3 linked regions of the Canis lupus familiaris genome follow. The main gene of each other region encodes a partner of the protein of the gene in region 3 in a complex. Links are inferred from orthologs where the notes say so. Each region holds a gene or a part of one and is shown on either strand. Other genes may lie near its edges.

Region 1 (4,315 bases), on a different chromosome or scaffold from region 3:
CTCCTCTAGCTGTATTAGCTACTTTGCTGTTCTCCCAGCATCCCAAGTACCCTCTTAACCCAGAGCCCTTGAACATTCGCACTCAAAAATCCACATTAATTAATTTCTCAAGTCATTTAGGTCTGGCTCAAGTGACACATATCAGAAAGATCTTCCTTGATGATCCTAATTAATAACAACAGCTCCATCCCCACTACCATCACTCCCACCTTTTAATTCCCTCCAAAATACTTATGTCACTCATGAGTTAAATATTAATTTGCAGAGACACATGGGTGGCTCAGTGGTTGAGCATCTGCCTTTGGCTCAGGGCATGATCCCCAAGTTACAGGATCAATTCCCACATTGGGCTTCTTGCACAGAGCCTGCTTCTCCCTCTGCCTATGTCTCTGCCTCTCTCTGTGTGTGTCTATCATGAATAAATAAATTAAATCTTTAAAAAATATATTAATTTGCTGTCTCCCAACTAGAAAGTACTATCCAGGAGAGCAGGGAATTGTTTTCTCCATAACTATTTCCATTGTCCCTAGATGAGTAGGTGTTTAATAGTTTTTCGTTAAGGGATGCCTGGGTGGCTAAGCAGTTGAGTGTCTGCCTTGGGACCAGGCCATGATCCTGGACGACGAGTCCCCCACGGGGCTCCCTACCGGGAGCATGCTTCTTCCTCTGCCTATGTCTCTGCCTCTCTCTCTCTCTCTCTTTCTCTGTCTCTCACGAATAAATAAAATACTTAAATTTTTTTTTTCATTAAATGATTGAACTATCTTAATTTACCTACTTTGTGCCTCGCATATGTCTTTGTCTTCTCCACCCCCTTCCCCACACATAAGCCCTAAAAGACACAGCTGTATGTATAGGGGAAGAGGAGCTGGATTCAACCACATTTACAAATCGTGCTTTTAACTTCTATATTTTCAGATCTCCCCTCATTCTCTCAGGAGGCCCCCCTCCCTCTGAGCAGCCTCCGGTTACTTCCAGTCAGTGCTGTGCTATTACAAATCATGCGGCCGAGAATGGGCGTGGGTATATATGCAAAACTCCGTGTCACCACTCCTATCACCCTAATACATTCTGAGAAGTGGGATTTCTGGATCAAAGGATAACTGCATATGTGAGTTTAATAGCTATTGCTGAGTTCGCCTCCGCGGGGATCACCGGATTTTTGGGTTTCCACGGGCAGCGGTGTGCGCCAGCGAGTGCCTGTTTCTTCACGGCCTCGCCGGCCAACTCAGTGTCGTTAAGCTTCAGGGGGGTTGGCCAATCCGACAGTTGAGAAATGGCCCGGACCGAGCGCGCCCTTCCCCACCCACCCGATCGCTGACCTCGGACAGCCGCGCCGCGTCACCCGGCCGGAGCGCATCCCCGCGGCGTGGCGAGCCAGGCAGCTGCGCGCACGCGCGGGGCGAGGTCCGCGCTCGGCACGCGGGCGCCGAGGCCCCCAAGGGTGGGCTGCGCGCCGCGGAGATCCGGCTTTGCTCAACCCTCCCGAAAGAGGAAGCGCGGAAGGGCTTGAAGCAAACACTTAGGCCGACCGTTGCAACAGCGCTCAGGGTGTCGGGCTTCTGCGGAGCCGTCGTGTGGCCCCACATCCCTCAGCCACGGGTGGACCGAGTGACGAGGCAGGATCGCTGAGCGAGGGAACGAACGCTCGGAGAGAAGGGGGCGCGCGGAGGGGAGGGGTCAGACGGGAAGGCCCAGCTTCTCCCAGAACTTAGAAAACCAAGAACTTTCCCCCCCCCCCTCCTTCAAGGGCGTGGCGAGGAGGGGGAGGGCCGGGGGACATGCGGCTCGGAGCCGGGAGCTGGGAAAGCAGCAGCCCCCGAGGCGCAGGAGCCCTCCTCCACACGTCCCCCCGCGGGGGCGCCACACGGCGGCGCGCTGCGCGGGGAGGGCAGGGCCGACACCACTTCCTCCAGCGCCGCCGACCTGAGCCGGGCGCCGCCCAGTGTGCGCTTCGCCTGCCCCGCGGCTGCCGCGCCGCGCCGCGCCCGCGCCCGCCCCAGCCGAGGCCCCGGGAGCCGTCAAGGTAAGCGGCCCGGCGGGGGCCCCGAGGGCCGGTGTCTCCCGCGGGTCTGCGTCTGACCCCGGGTCCGACCCAGCTCCCGGCCGTGGCCCGGAGGACTCGCGCGCCCCGCCCGGCCCGGCCCTCGGGGGGACGCGCGGCCCCGGGATCCCCGCTGCGCCCAAAGCTGCTTCGGAGGTGGATGGAGAAGTGGCCGAACCCTCGCCTGTCTGGCGGCCCAGGAGCCCCGACTGACCCCTCCGGAGGAATTCCGGGGGGCGCTCTAGGGCACCGTACATCCAGGGCCGGTCGTGTGAGAATTTGAGATTGACGATCGCAGTCTGACGTATCTTAGGGTGTTTCCTGAGTTTAAAACTTTTGGACAACCGTATCTTCTTTTTCTTAAAAAAAAAAAAAAAAAAAGTCTTTACTAGTGATACTCCTTTTCGTTTTAAAATAAGATAGAGGGGGACGACGCCTGGGTGGCTCAGTGGTTGAGCGTCTGTCTGCCTTTGGCTCAGGTGGTGATCCCGGGGTCCTGGCATCGAGTCCCGCATCGGGCTCCCTGCAGGGAGCCTGCTTCTCCCTCTGCCTGTGTCTGCCTCTCTCTCTGTGTCTTGAATGAATGAATGAATGAATGAATGAATGAACCTTTAAAAAAAATAAGATAGAGGAACGATTTGGACACCAGGAGTTAGTCTCATAATTTGGCTTGGAGCGAATGGCCAGAGTGCCATTTTGTAGCACGAAAGAAACTAACTAGGATGTCCTGATATCCAGGAGTCGCCCTGAACCCTTGACCCCCTGCACCTCTTATTTTTCTTCTGGGAAGGTATTTCTTGTACATACCCTTGTGGAACGCTAAAGGTGTGGTTTCCTAGAGGCATTCTAAATTCTCGGCCTCTGAACAGAAATTTCAGAAAAGAGAGCTTTTGTCCCTTGGAATAAACCACCACTGACAATTTTCCCTCTGGCCTCACTGAAATAGTCTTATAGTTAAGACTAGCTGACAAAATTCACAGAAAATGTGCTAAGAAACCTTCCATAACCTCTTCCGGGTAGTATTTCCTGTCTGTTCAGTATGTTGTGAAAGGTCTAAGAAATATAATGTCATCTTTGGGTTATTAGTACTTAATAATTTTCACAGTGATACTAATATTTGTGTTTTTTCTTGGTATTTGGATCTGTTGAAAAACTGAGGTGGGGCATTGTTGTGCCCAGGCTTGGGCAGATCAACATTAGATTTCAAAATTCTTCAATTATTATCTCTCAAGAAATATATCTTTATAATATGGATTATATTATGATTTAGTTACTTTAAATCTTAAACATGATACTCATTAGGCTATACAGTGTCCATTAATTTTTTATATTTTTATATCCTAGGAATGAATACCAAATACCTAATTTTTTAATGTTTATTAACTTATAGTAAAAAAGTTCTAGATATTTTCATCTTATTATTAAAATGAATCACTTATAAAATTTATTGCCATAAATGTCTATGCTTGATATGCCGCTCTGAATTTCTTTAAACCATACTACTTTCTTTTCTTTTTCTTTTTCTTTTCTTTTCTTTTTTTTTTTTTTTTCTTGAGAGAGAGAGACAGAAATAGTGAGAGAGAGCAGGAGCAGGGAGGAGAGGGAGAAGCACATTCCCTGCCGAGCAGGGAGCCTGACATGGGGCTTGATCCCAGAACCCTGGGATCAGGACCTGAGCCAAAGGCAGACGCTTAGCTGACTGAGCCACCAAGGCAGCCATAAGCCATACTACTTTCAAAAGCATTATTTTTATTTACTTTTAATTAAAATCTTGTTTTAATTATTTTTATATCCAAAACCTTGTAGTGAGTCCACAGATCTTATAATAAATTAAGTTGGCATATCATAGCTTGCCACACCAAAATATTTTCCATTTTAAAGACCTCATGAGTTTATTTTATAGGCCATAGAATGATCTTAGTAATTCTCACCTCAAAATAGAGCAATTCTTATTAACATACTTTTAGTATGTAAATATGTCTATATATCTTTTAAAGATTTTATTTATTTATTTATGAGAGACACACAGAGAGAGGCAGAGACATAGGCAGAGGGAGAAGCAGGCTCTCTGAAGGGAGCCCCATGTGGGAGTCCATCCCAGGACCCCAGGATCATGACCTGAGCTGAAGGGAGACACTCAACCACTGAGCCACCCAGGTGTCTCAATATGTCTAAGTTTTATGTCAGTTCTGTCATTCTATGTGACAAGTAGCTTAAAGTTTAAGCAATTATTATAAATTTAAGTAATTCATTATAAATTCAATAAATGCC
Region 2 (3,618 bases), on a different chromosome or scaffold from region 3:
GTGTGTTTTCTGTGGAGGGAAGGAACGTTCTGTGTCCCGTGTATTGATCGAGGCATCTAGTTGCCTATGTCCTTGTTTGGTTTGGTCTGTTTGGTTCTGTGTTTGCTTTGTTATCAAATTCTTCTTGCTTCCATTGTTGATTTCTCTTTCCCTGCTTCTAAAATTTCTCTTCTTTCCAAGACCCCTTTCTTAGCGTTCACACACACTCCCCGCCTGCGCGTTGCCATCAAGAATTACTTTGCAGACACGCAGACAGACGCCCGCGTGCACACACAGCGGTTTCTGCCACCAGCCACTTTTTCCCATTAACTGAATTCCTGCCGTGTGACACATCTTTCTGTCTTTGCCCCCAAAACAGCCTACCATCCCACGTGGCTGGAGAGCCAGCTCCCCGTGGTTATAGGTGCCCCTCCCATCTCAGAGCTGTGCATTTTGCTCATGAGATGAACTTGTGCCCCCAATCACCTGGCCACCAGGTGAGACCTAGGAGTCGCCTCGCCTCCCATCTGGAGCCTGTTTCCATAACTCAGGATACCTGGCTCTTCCAAGATCGCAAATGCTCAGTAAAGATTACGAAGGGGTTCTGACCTCAATGTGGGATGGGTGCTAGGTGTCCCTCCTTTACAGGTGGGGCTACTTGAGGCTTAGGGTTGGGAAAGGACCTTCAGGGTCGCCAGGGGTGAGTGGTGAGGCCAGGACCTGCCCACCCGTGTGTGCTTGAGCAGAGGTCAGTAGAGGCTCACCTGTTGGTGGGCACATCCTCCCCACCTCTCCACAGAGGTGTTTGGAGGCAGGGGGTGGGGGGGCAGTTATTTGGCTTCCTGAGTCTTTTGTCCCCATGATGACCTCCTGATGAGAGGGGAAGAGGCAGGTGCAGGCTGGGGCTGGTGTGGGTGCTGTCCGGAGCCCCGCCTCAGGACTCCCCTGTCCTCGTGTCCCCAGGGTGGAGGCTTCTCCAGCTCATGCCTGTGCGGCTGCCGAAGCAGAAACCACCAGCCAGGCCTCGGAGCCCGCCAGCCAGGCCTCGGATGAGGAGGATGCACCCGCCACAGACATCTACTTTGTAAGTCCCCTGCAACTCCTTCCGTCACCAGACCCCTGACCAGGCATACACTCCTGCAGTCACACTCACAGAACACCCACGTGGACACAGTGCACTGACTGGTCAGCAGTCACATGCATACACTCTTGCACGCCCAGTGTGCCCTCACACACGTTCACATCACATGCTCACATGGCATGGGAGCACATTGCCTTCGCCATCCAGGCCAGGCTACTCCAAGACCAGGAAACAGCCCTGTCCCTCCTCCCCAGGCCTCGTGACCACCGCCAGGCAAGGCCCTAGCCATGCCACCGCATCTCCCTAGGAAACATCTGGAGTCCTCAAGCTGTGTGCCCCACCGGGCCAGCCTCTGAGGGCTGCAAACCATGTGGATCTTCTCCTGCTGGGTGGTGGGTACAGCTAGGCGGGTTTTGTTCTCAAGGATGCAAGGGAATTGTGGCAAGGGGTAGGTGTGCTTCACGCTGCCAACCTCACTGGCTGAGGACTCATGGCTGCTCCTGGATGGGGCGGGGTCTGTGGGAGCAAGAAGCGGCCCTCCCCCAGGGACCTGGGACCTCTCTTCCAGAGCAGGGGGTCGCCTCCCCCCGCTGCATCTCCCACAGGCAAACAGCTGGGCCAGGAGCTTGGGTGAGGTGGGTGCTGGGCAGCCAGGTAGCCTGCAAAATCCAGTCCAATGACACCCCCCCTGCCCCAGTGGGTCCTGGGGCTGCCTTCCTCAGGCAGCCCTACTGAGGGGTCAGGTCAGAAGGCCTTATGCAATGAAGGGGACTGCCTCTCCTCCTCCCAGACCTTCGATCTTGTTGGCCAGTGAGCTGGGGGCCTACTGCTGCTGCTGCTGCTGCTGCTGTGTAGCTAACACCACCTTGCTCTGTCTTGGGGCCTCCGTCGGGCCTGGAGAAGGAACAGGTGCACTGTCTATGCGTCCACACACCCGCCGTCATATCCCCATCCCTGGGGGCTTGGTTTGTGTCCCATCCTGTGGACCGGTGTGTGAGGTGGCCCCAGGGGGCCATGTCCTGTATGTGTGTCTGGGTCCTGACACCCAAGTGGGCGGCCAGGCCCTGTGGGCAGCAGAGAAGGTATCGGGCTGCTGTGGGACCCCTGCCACCCTGAAACTCACCTCCTGCTTGGCTATCGGCTTACCTGCCCCTGCCCAGCACCCTCCCCACCTAACCGTCCCCTGGATTCCTGTTGCCTCATCCTGTCCTCTGTTTGCTTCTTCCCCCGCCCACCCGGCCCGCCCAGTTCACCGATGGGAGGTACTGGATTTACTCTCCCCGGCATCGCCGACTGCGGGCCGTGACGCTGAGCTCCTCAGGGACTGTAAGTGACCACAGCAGGCCTCCAGGGAGCCCAGCCCCTGTCCCACCACCCTGGGCAGCAGGGAGCCACAAGTCCTGGCTGTCCCTCGTCCTCTGCGAAGGGACTTGGGGAAATAATCACCACGACTGAAGCTGGTCATGTGTCCCCAGTGATGTCACCTAGGTCCCTCTGAGGTGGGCATTGCTAGGCCGGTAGGCACACAGCCAGGGCTAAGGGGACTTGTCTGTAGCGATGGGGTCTGCATCTGACCCCAGCCCCTGGCTGTCTTTGCCCCCTCCCCAGCCTGCTAAGTCAGGGACAAGTCGGTAGACTCTTGTCTAATATTCAGACCTGGCTGCCAGTGGCCCCCCAAGGGGCATCTGCCCTGCAGAAGCAGGTGGTCATGTGGGTCAGCAAAGGGACTTCAAAGCCAAGCTTTTCGCTGCAGGAGAGAGGAGGTGGTATCTCCATACCTACTTGATAGTGGAGAAACCACGGGCTCAGCTCCCCAGGAAGCCCACAAAAGGGCACAGTTCAGGTAAAATCTGGGTCCAAATTCCCAAGCAGCCCCTGTGTCTAGTAGACACCTATTGTGCTTGGGACACTGTGGGTATCGTGTAGCCATGGTATTATCAGGACCTGTTACTTTCGTCATGAGCAATAAATGAGGGACGCAGAGAGGCCTAGGAACCTGCCCAGAGCCACACAGCACTCAAGCAGGCAAAACAAGTTGAATACTTGAAGTAGGAATTTCTGTTCTCAAGATGAGGCCCCTCAGAGGCTCCCATCCCCTACCCTAAATGCCTCTGAGCGTCAGTGGGTGTCCAGCACTGCCAAGCAAACCCAAGAAGTGGAAACCACTTCCCCAGACCTTCCTGCCATGCTGTGTCCTGCTGAGACAGGGATTCCACACCCCGAAGATGATCCAAGAGCTGGGGATACACAGCAGGCCCTGAGGCCCCCTGGGGAAGTGATTTGCAGAGGCTGCCTGGAGAGGGGTTGACCCGGACCAGAAAACACTCAGGATGTGGGGAGGCGGGAAGAGGAGGGGGCCTCCATAGAGGGCACAACGGAAGCAAGTGTGAGGGCTAGGTGAGTGGGCACAGACCCTAGGGCCTGGGGAGGATGTGTCCTTGGCCCCACTTCAGTGGGGTCATCGCAGAGTTCTGGATCCTGCTGCCCGCGATCCCTCCTTCCCCTGAGGCCAGCTCTTTGCAGAGTTCAGATGGAGATTCTTTTGTCCCACATTCTTG
Region 3 (3,618 bases):
CACCCTAACCCTGACTTCGCCATCACTGCTCCCTTGCAGGTACCATGCGCTTCAACCAGCCTGCCTACTCACTTCCCCCAATGCTCCTCCATGATTTCCTGCTCCTCCACCTTTGCTTATGCTCTTCTCTCTGCCTGGAATGCTACCCCTGACTCACCTCCTACTGGGATAGTGGAGACAACTTGGGCTTTGGAATCAGAGAGACATGGGTTCCAATCCTGGCTTCACAACTTATTAGCTGTATGACTTTGGAGAAGATCCTTGAATGAGTATTTAACATCTTTGCACCTCAGTTTCTTAATCTGTAAAAATGGAAATAATCATACTTATCTTGCCAGGTTGTTGTAAAGTTTAAATGAAATGACGTATACAAAGAAATTGACATAATCATCAATTAAAGCTAGTTCCTTATGATTTTTTTTTTATTATCTTTATTTTAAGCCCTAACTTCAAATGACACTTTTCACAGACATTTTTTTGGTACCTCTTCCCTAACCTAAAGGGATCTCTCCCCTGAACACGCGCCTCTTGACTCTTACCACATCCTGCCCTGTGTTAAAATTCTGTATTTAGCTTATCCACTCAACTAACTGGGAAACACCCCCTCACCCCACCCCACCCCCACCCCCAACGAAAGCGAAGGCTAGGGCTTGCTCTTCTTGCTTCCCAGTCACTGGGAGTTTGGCTCAGGGCTTTTTTCACAACAGACCCTCAGAAATGCCTGTTGGGTAAATGGAGGGAGAATGTCTATGTAAAGGGAAGAGAGATGTTGGGGCAAGTTGCTCTCTTACCAATAGAAGTGTGTGTGTTTGTGGGGAAGCTGTGTGCGTGGGATGGGGTCTTTACAGGAAGATAATGTGGTTGTGATGGGGTCTGTATAGGGACTGCATGTTTGAGATAATGTATATGTAGAGACAGTTTAAGTAGCTTTGTGGGAAAGAGCTCTGTGCATAAACCAGGGTGCAGATGGGGAAAATGAATATGCATAGATCGGTGTAGGTGGTGAGGGGCTGTGTTGAGAGAGATCAAGTCCAGCCCTTCAGCTGCCCAGTCCAGCCTTAAATGAGCCTCCAGCAGCCCAAGGCCGGATATGTCATTCTCACCCACAACCCCCCCCACCCCTCCTCCCCGTGGTTGCCGACTCAGAGGCCAAATTTGGTAACAGACTGAGTGTTACTCCCCCAACCCTCATACATTCTGACTTTGTCTTCAGCTTTCTCTCTCCCTTGTCCCTTTCCATAGCTCCCTGTCTTTCTGCAGCTCCCTTTGTGGGGCTCTGCTCTGACTCTATTCTCCATGTACCCCAAATTCTTTACCCCCAATACTTACATTCCATTCCTTGCTGGGATTTGACCTCTTGTCCTCCACCCCCACCCCACCCCCAATTGCCCAACTCCTCTGGAATGCATCTCAGGAATGTCTTGAGGGAGGAGGAGTTCCCTGGGAGGGGGATATGGTGGGGGGGGGGGGGACACTGTTGCTGTTTCATAAAACGTGATAGAAAAGGGAGCAAAGTTTTCAGGCCAGAGCAGGAACTGGATAGCTTCTCCCCAAACTTCCAAGGGCCTCGTTCTTTGCCCTCATCACCCTCAGTTAACTTCTCCATTCCCTTTCCTCCCTCACCATCTTGTCACTCTGTGGGTATCCACTCAGAACCAGCCTGGGAGGGTAGGCATGACTCATCTCTCTTATCGGGGTCTCACCAGAGGTTTCCGTGCTTGAAGAAGGGGGTGTCCATATGTCCGGAGGAAATGGGGGAGGCTTTCAGCTTAGAGTGGAGGATCCTTTCAGTGCTGCCCTCAACATCTCTGACTCCTCCACTTCGCTGACCTTCCAGCCCTCCAGCAGCCTCACAGCCAGGTCTGTCAAGCTACTGGGAGAGGTGACCGAGAAATGGGGAGGTGGGCAGAGAGCTGGGGAGACTGGAAGAGTCCTCATTTGTTTGGAAATAAGAGAGTGAGCCATGGTTTCTTGGGAGACTCTGGACTGTTTCTAAGGTCAGAAGCGGTCTAGCGCATCCCTGACCCGTACCTCTCCCACACAGGCCCGCCTCCTGTCTCTGGATTTTCAGTCTCCTCCACCTCACCCTTCCTAACCTCTTCACCCTCCAAAAACCTATCCCTTCCCAACTTCCCTGGCTCTCAGCCAGCCCCTGTACCCCAGCACCCCCACCTGTTCCAGCCTACCCCTGGTCCTGCGTTCCCCCCTTGGGGCTGGCAGCCTACTGGGAGGGGGTGGGTGGCCCAGGTTTGTTCATTCTCTTAGTTGAAAGGAACCAATCTCTGTACCAAACTGGGTCACATCATCAGCTGCCAGGCAGACTTGTCCTCTCATGCCCTGGGTGCCATCTGCCACCTGCCAGGAAGGGCGCCTCCAGCCTACTGAGAGGTGGTGCCAAGGAGGGACAGGGAAGTCAGGGTGTGGTGGGTATCTTGAGCTGCACTGAAAACACCAGCAAGTGAGACAGCGGGACGGACTTGAGAAGGACTTACTGAAGATGGGAGAACTTGTGAGGAGTTGTTGTGAGGGCAGGCTGGGTATTCGCTTGGTGACTTGGAGCAAGGACCAAGTTAGAGGGACTGGGCTCTTCATCTGACCTGCCTTGAAACTCCCCCACCTACCCCACCATGGTCTCTGATATCCATTCTGCAAAACTGAAGAGCTGAGATCCCTCTGGATTAGAGAATCATCATTCTAGCTTGACTGCCAGGGAAGCCAAATATGGGGCCAGGCTCCTTGGGAAAGCCCTTCCCTCTCTAGTTAGAGGAAAGCAGGGGGTGAGAGTAGGCTGTTTGGTCTCCCTGCTAGGCTAGCTAGAGTCGGTGTTTGCAGGCTTCGTTTGCAGGCTTCAGGATCTCTTGGGAATTACCTAATATAACGTCTTCATTTTGCAGAGAAGGAGGCTAAAGCTGTCAGAGGGAAGGTCACATGATGAGTCAGGGCAGAGCTCTGAAAATCCCAGACAGGAAAAAGCAAGACCTAGTTAGAGACAAAAAGAGAAAAAGACTGAACCAAGAAAAAATAAAAACAAGGCTGAGACAGGGCTAGAAAAGGAGCAGGGTAAGGAGCAAGAGAGAGAGAGACACTTGGCAGAAAGAAGGGAGGCACACATTCTAGTGGTAGGGACAAAATGGTGTCCTCAGGGAACACTGCATTGCAGACCAGACTCCTTCACATATCTTAGGTGGTTAGGATTGGTTCTTTAGGTGTACATAATCTTTCACTCTTTAAAATTCTGAAATAAAACAACTACGTTACTATTTGCTCTGGTAAGTCCCTCTCAAAAACACCTCTCCCTGGGGCTCCATCTTGGGGACCTCCTCTCCTCTACTGAGGATATGTTTTAATGCCCTGACCCCACGGGCCAGGTATAGCCAGGCTGGAGAAGAGAAGCTGCCACCATGGTTGCACTTTCGCTGAAGATCAGCATTGGGAATGTGGTGAAGACCATGCAGTTTGAGCCATCCACCATGGTGTATGATGCCTGTCGCATCATTCGTGAGCGCATCCCAGAGGCCCTGGCTGGCCCTCGTAAGTCTGAGTACCCCGGTGGCAGGTGGGGGAAAGTCCCTTGTTCCCAGGCTCTTGGCTTTAAGGGATGACCCCGTTGTCCCTCAA

What was found.
Region 1: the proteins of TLN1 (region 3) and APBB1IP are in contact, whole or in part, in a crystal structure (PDB 4W8P), measured with the Mus musculus proteins. The link is inferred for Canis lupus familiaris from reciprocal best matches to the Homo sapiens genes TLN1 and APBB1IP. Residues at the interface, in NP_035732.2 of Mus musculus: Leu1492, Ala1495, Thr1496, Val1498, Ala1499, Thr1502, Ser1503, Cys1506, Asn1507, Arg1510, Val1526, Ala1529, Lys1530, Ala1533, Asn1534, Thr1536, Ala1537, Val1540, Ile1543, Lys1544, Asp1547; in NP_062329.2 of Mus musculus: Asn5, Ile8, Asp9, Met11, Phe12, Thr14, Leu15, Glu18, Met19, Leu21, Leu22, Ser25.
Region 2: the proteins of TLN1 (region 3) and PIP5K1C are in contact, whole or in part, in a crystal structure (PDB 1Y19), measured with the Mus musculus proteins. The link is inferred for Canis lupus familiaris from reciprocal best matches to the Homo sapiens genes TLN1 and PIP5K1C. Residues at the interface, in NP_035732.2 of Mus musculus: Pro209, Val210, Gln211, Leu212, Leu214; in NP_032870.2 of Mus musculus: Pro646, Leu647, His648, Tyr649, Ser650, Ala651.

Annotation. Positions count from the first base shown.
Region 1 is NC_049223.1:5,059,202-5,063,516, reverse strand, and holds the start of APBB1IP (amyloid beta A4 precursor protein-binding family B member 1-interacting protein), read left to right. Parts: upstream 1-1,408; 5' UTR 1,409-1,619; intron 1,620-1,970; exon of another isoform or gene 1,971-2,026; intron 2,027-4,315. UniProt on the Homo sapiens protein: Appears to function in the signal transduction from Ras activation to actin cytoskeletal remodeling. Suppresses insulin-induced promoter activities through AP1 and SRE. Mediates Rap1-induced adhesion.
Region 2 is NC_049241.1:56,191,308-56,194,925, forward strand, and holds part of PIP5K1C (phosphatidylinositol 4-phosphate 5-kinase type-1 gamma), read left to right. Parts: intron 1-942; coding exon 943-1,063; intron 1,064-1,850; coding exon of another isoform or gene 1,851-1,874; exon of another isoform or gene 1,875-2,269; intron 2,270-2,308; coding exon 2,309-2,386; intron 2,387-3,618. UniProt on the Homo sapiens protein: Catalyzes the phosphorylation of phosphatidylinositol 4-phosphate (PtdIns(4)P/PI4P) to form phosphatidylinositol 4,5-bisphosphate (PtdIns(4,5)P2/PIP2), a lipid second messenger that regulates several cellular processes such as signal transduction, vesicle trafficking, actin cytoskeleton dynamics, cell adhesion, and cell motility.
Region 3 is NC_049232.1:52,548,811-52,552,428, reverse strand, and holds part of TLN1 (talin-1), read left to right. Parts: intron 1-157; exon of another isoform or gene 158-302; intron 303-1,703; exon of another isoform or gene 1,704-3,368; 5' UTR 3,369-3,401; coding exon 3,402-3,531; exon of another isoform or gene 3,532-3,618. UniProt on the Homo sapiens protein: High molecular weight cytoskeletal protein concentrated at regions of cell-matrix and cell-cell contacts. Involved in connections of major cytoskeletal structures to the plasma membrane.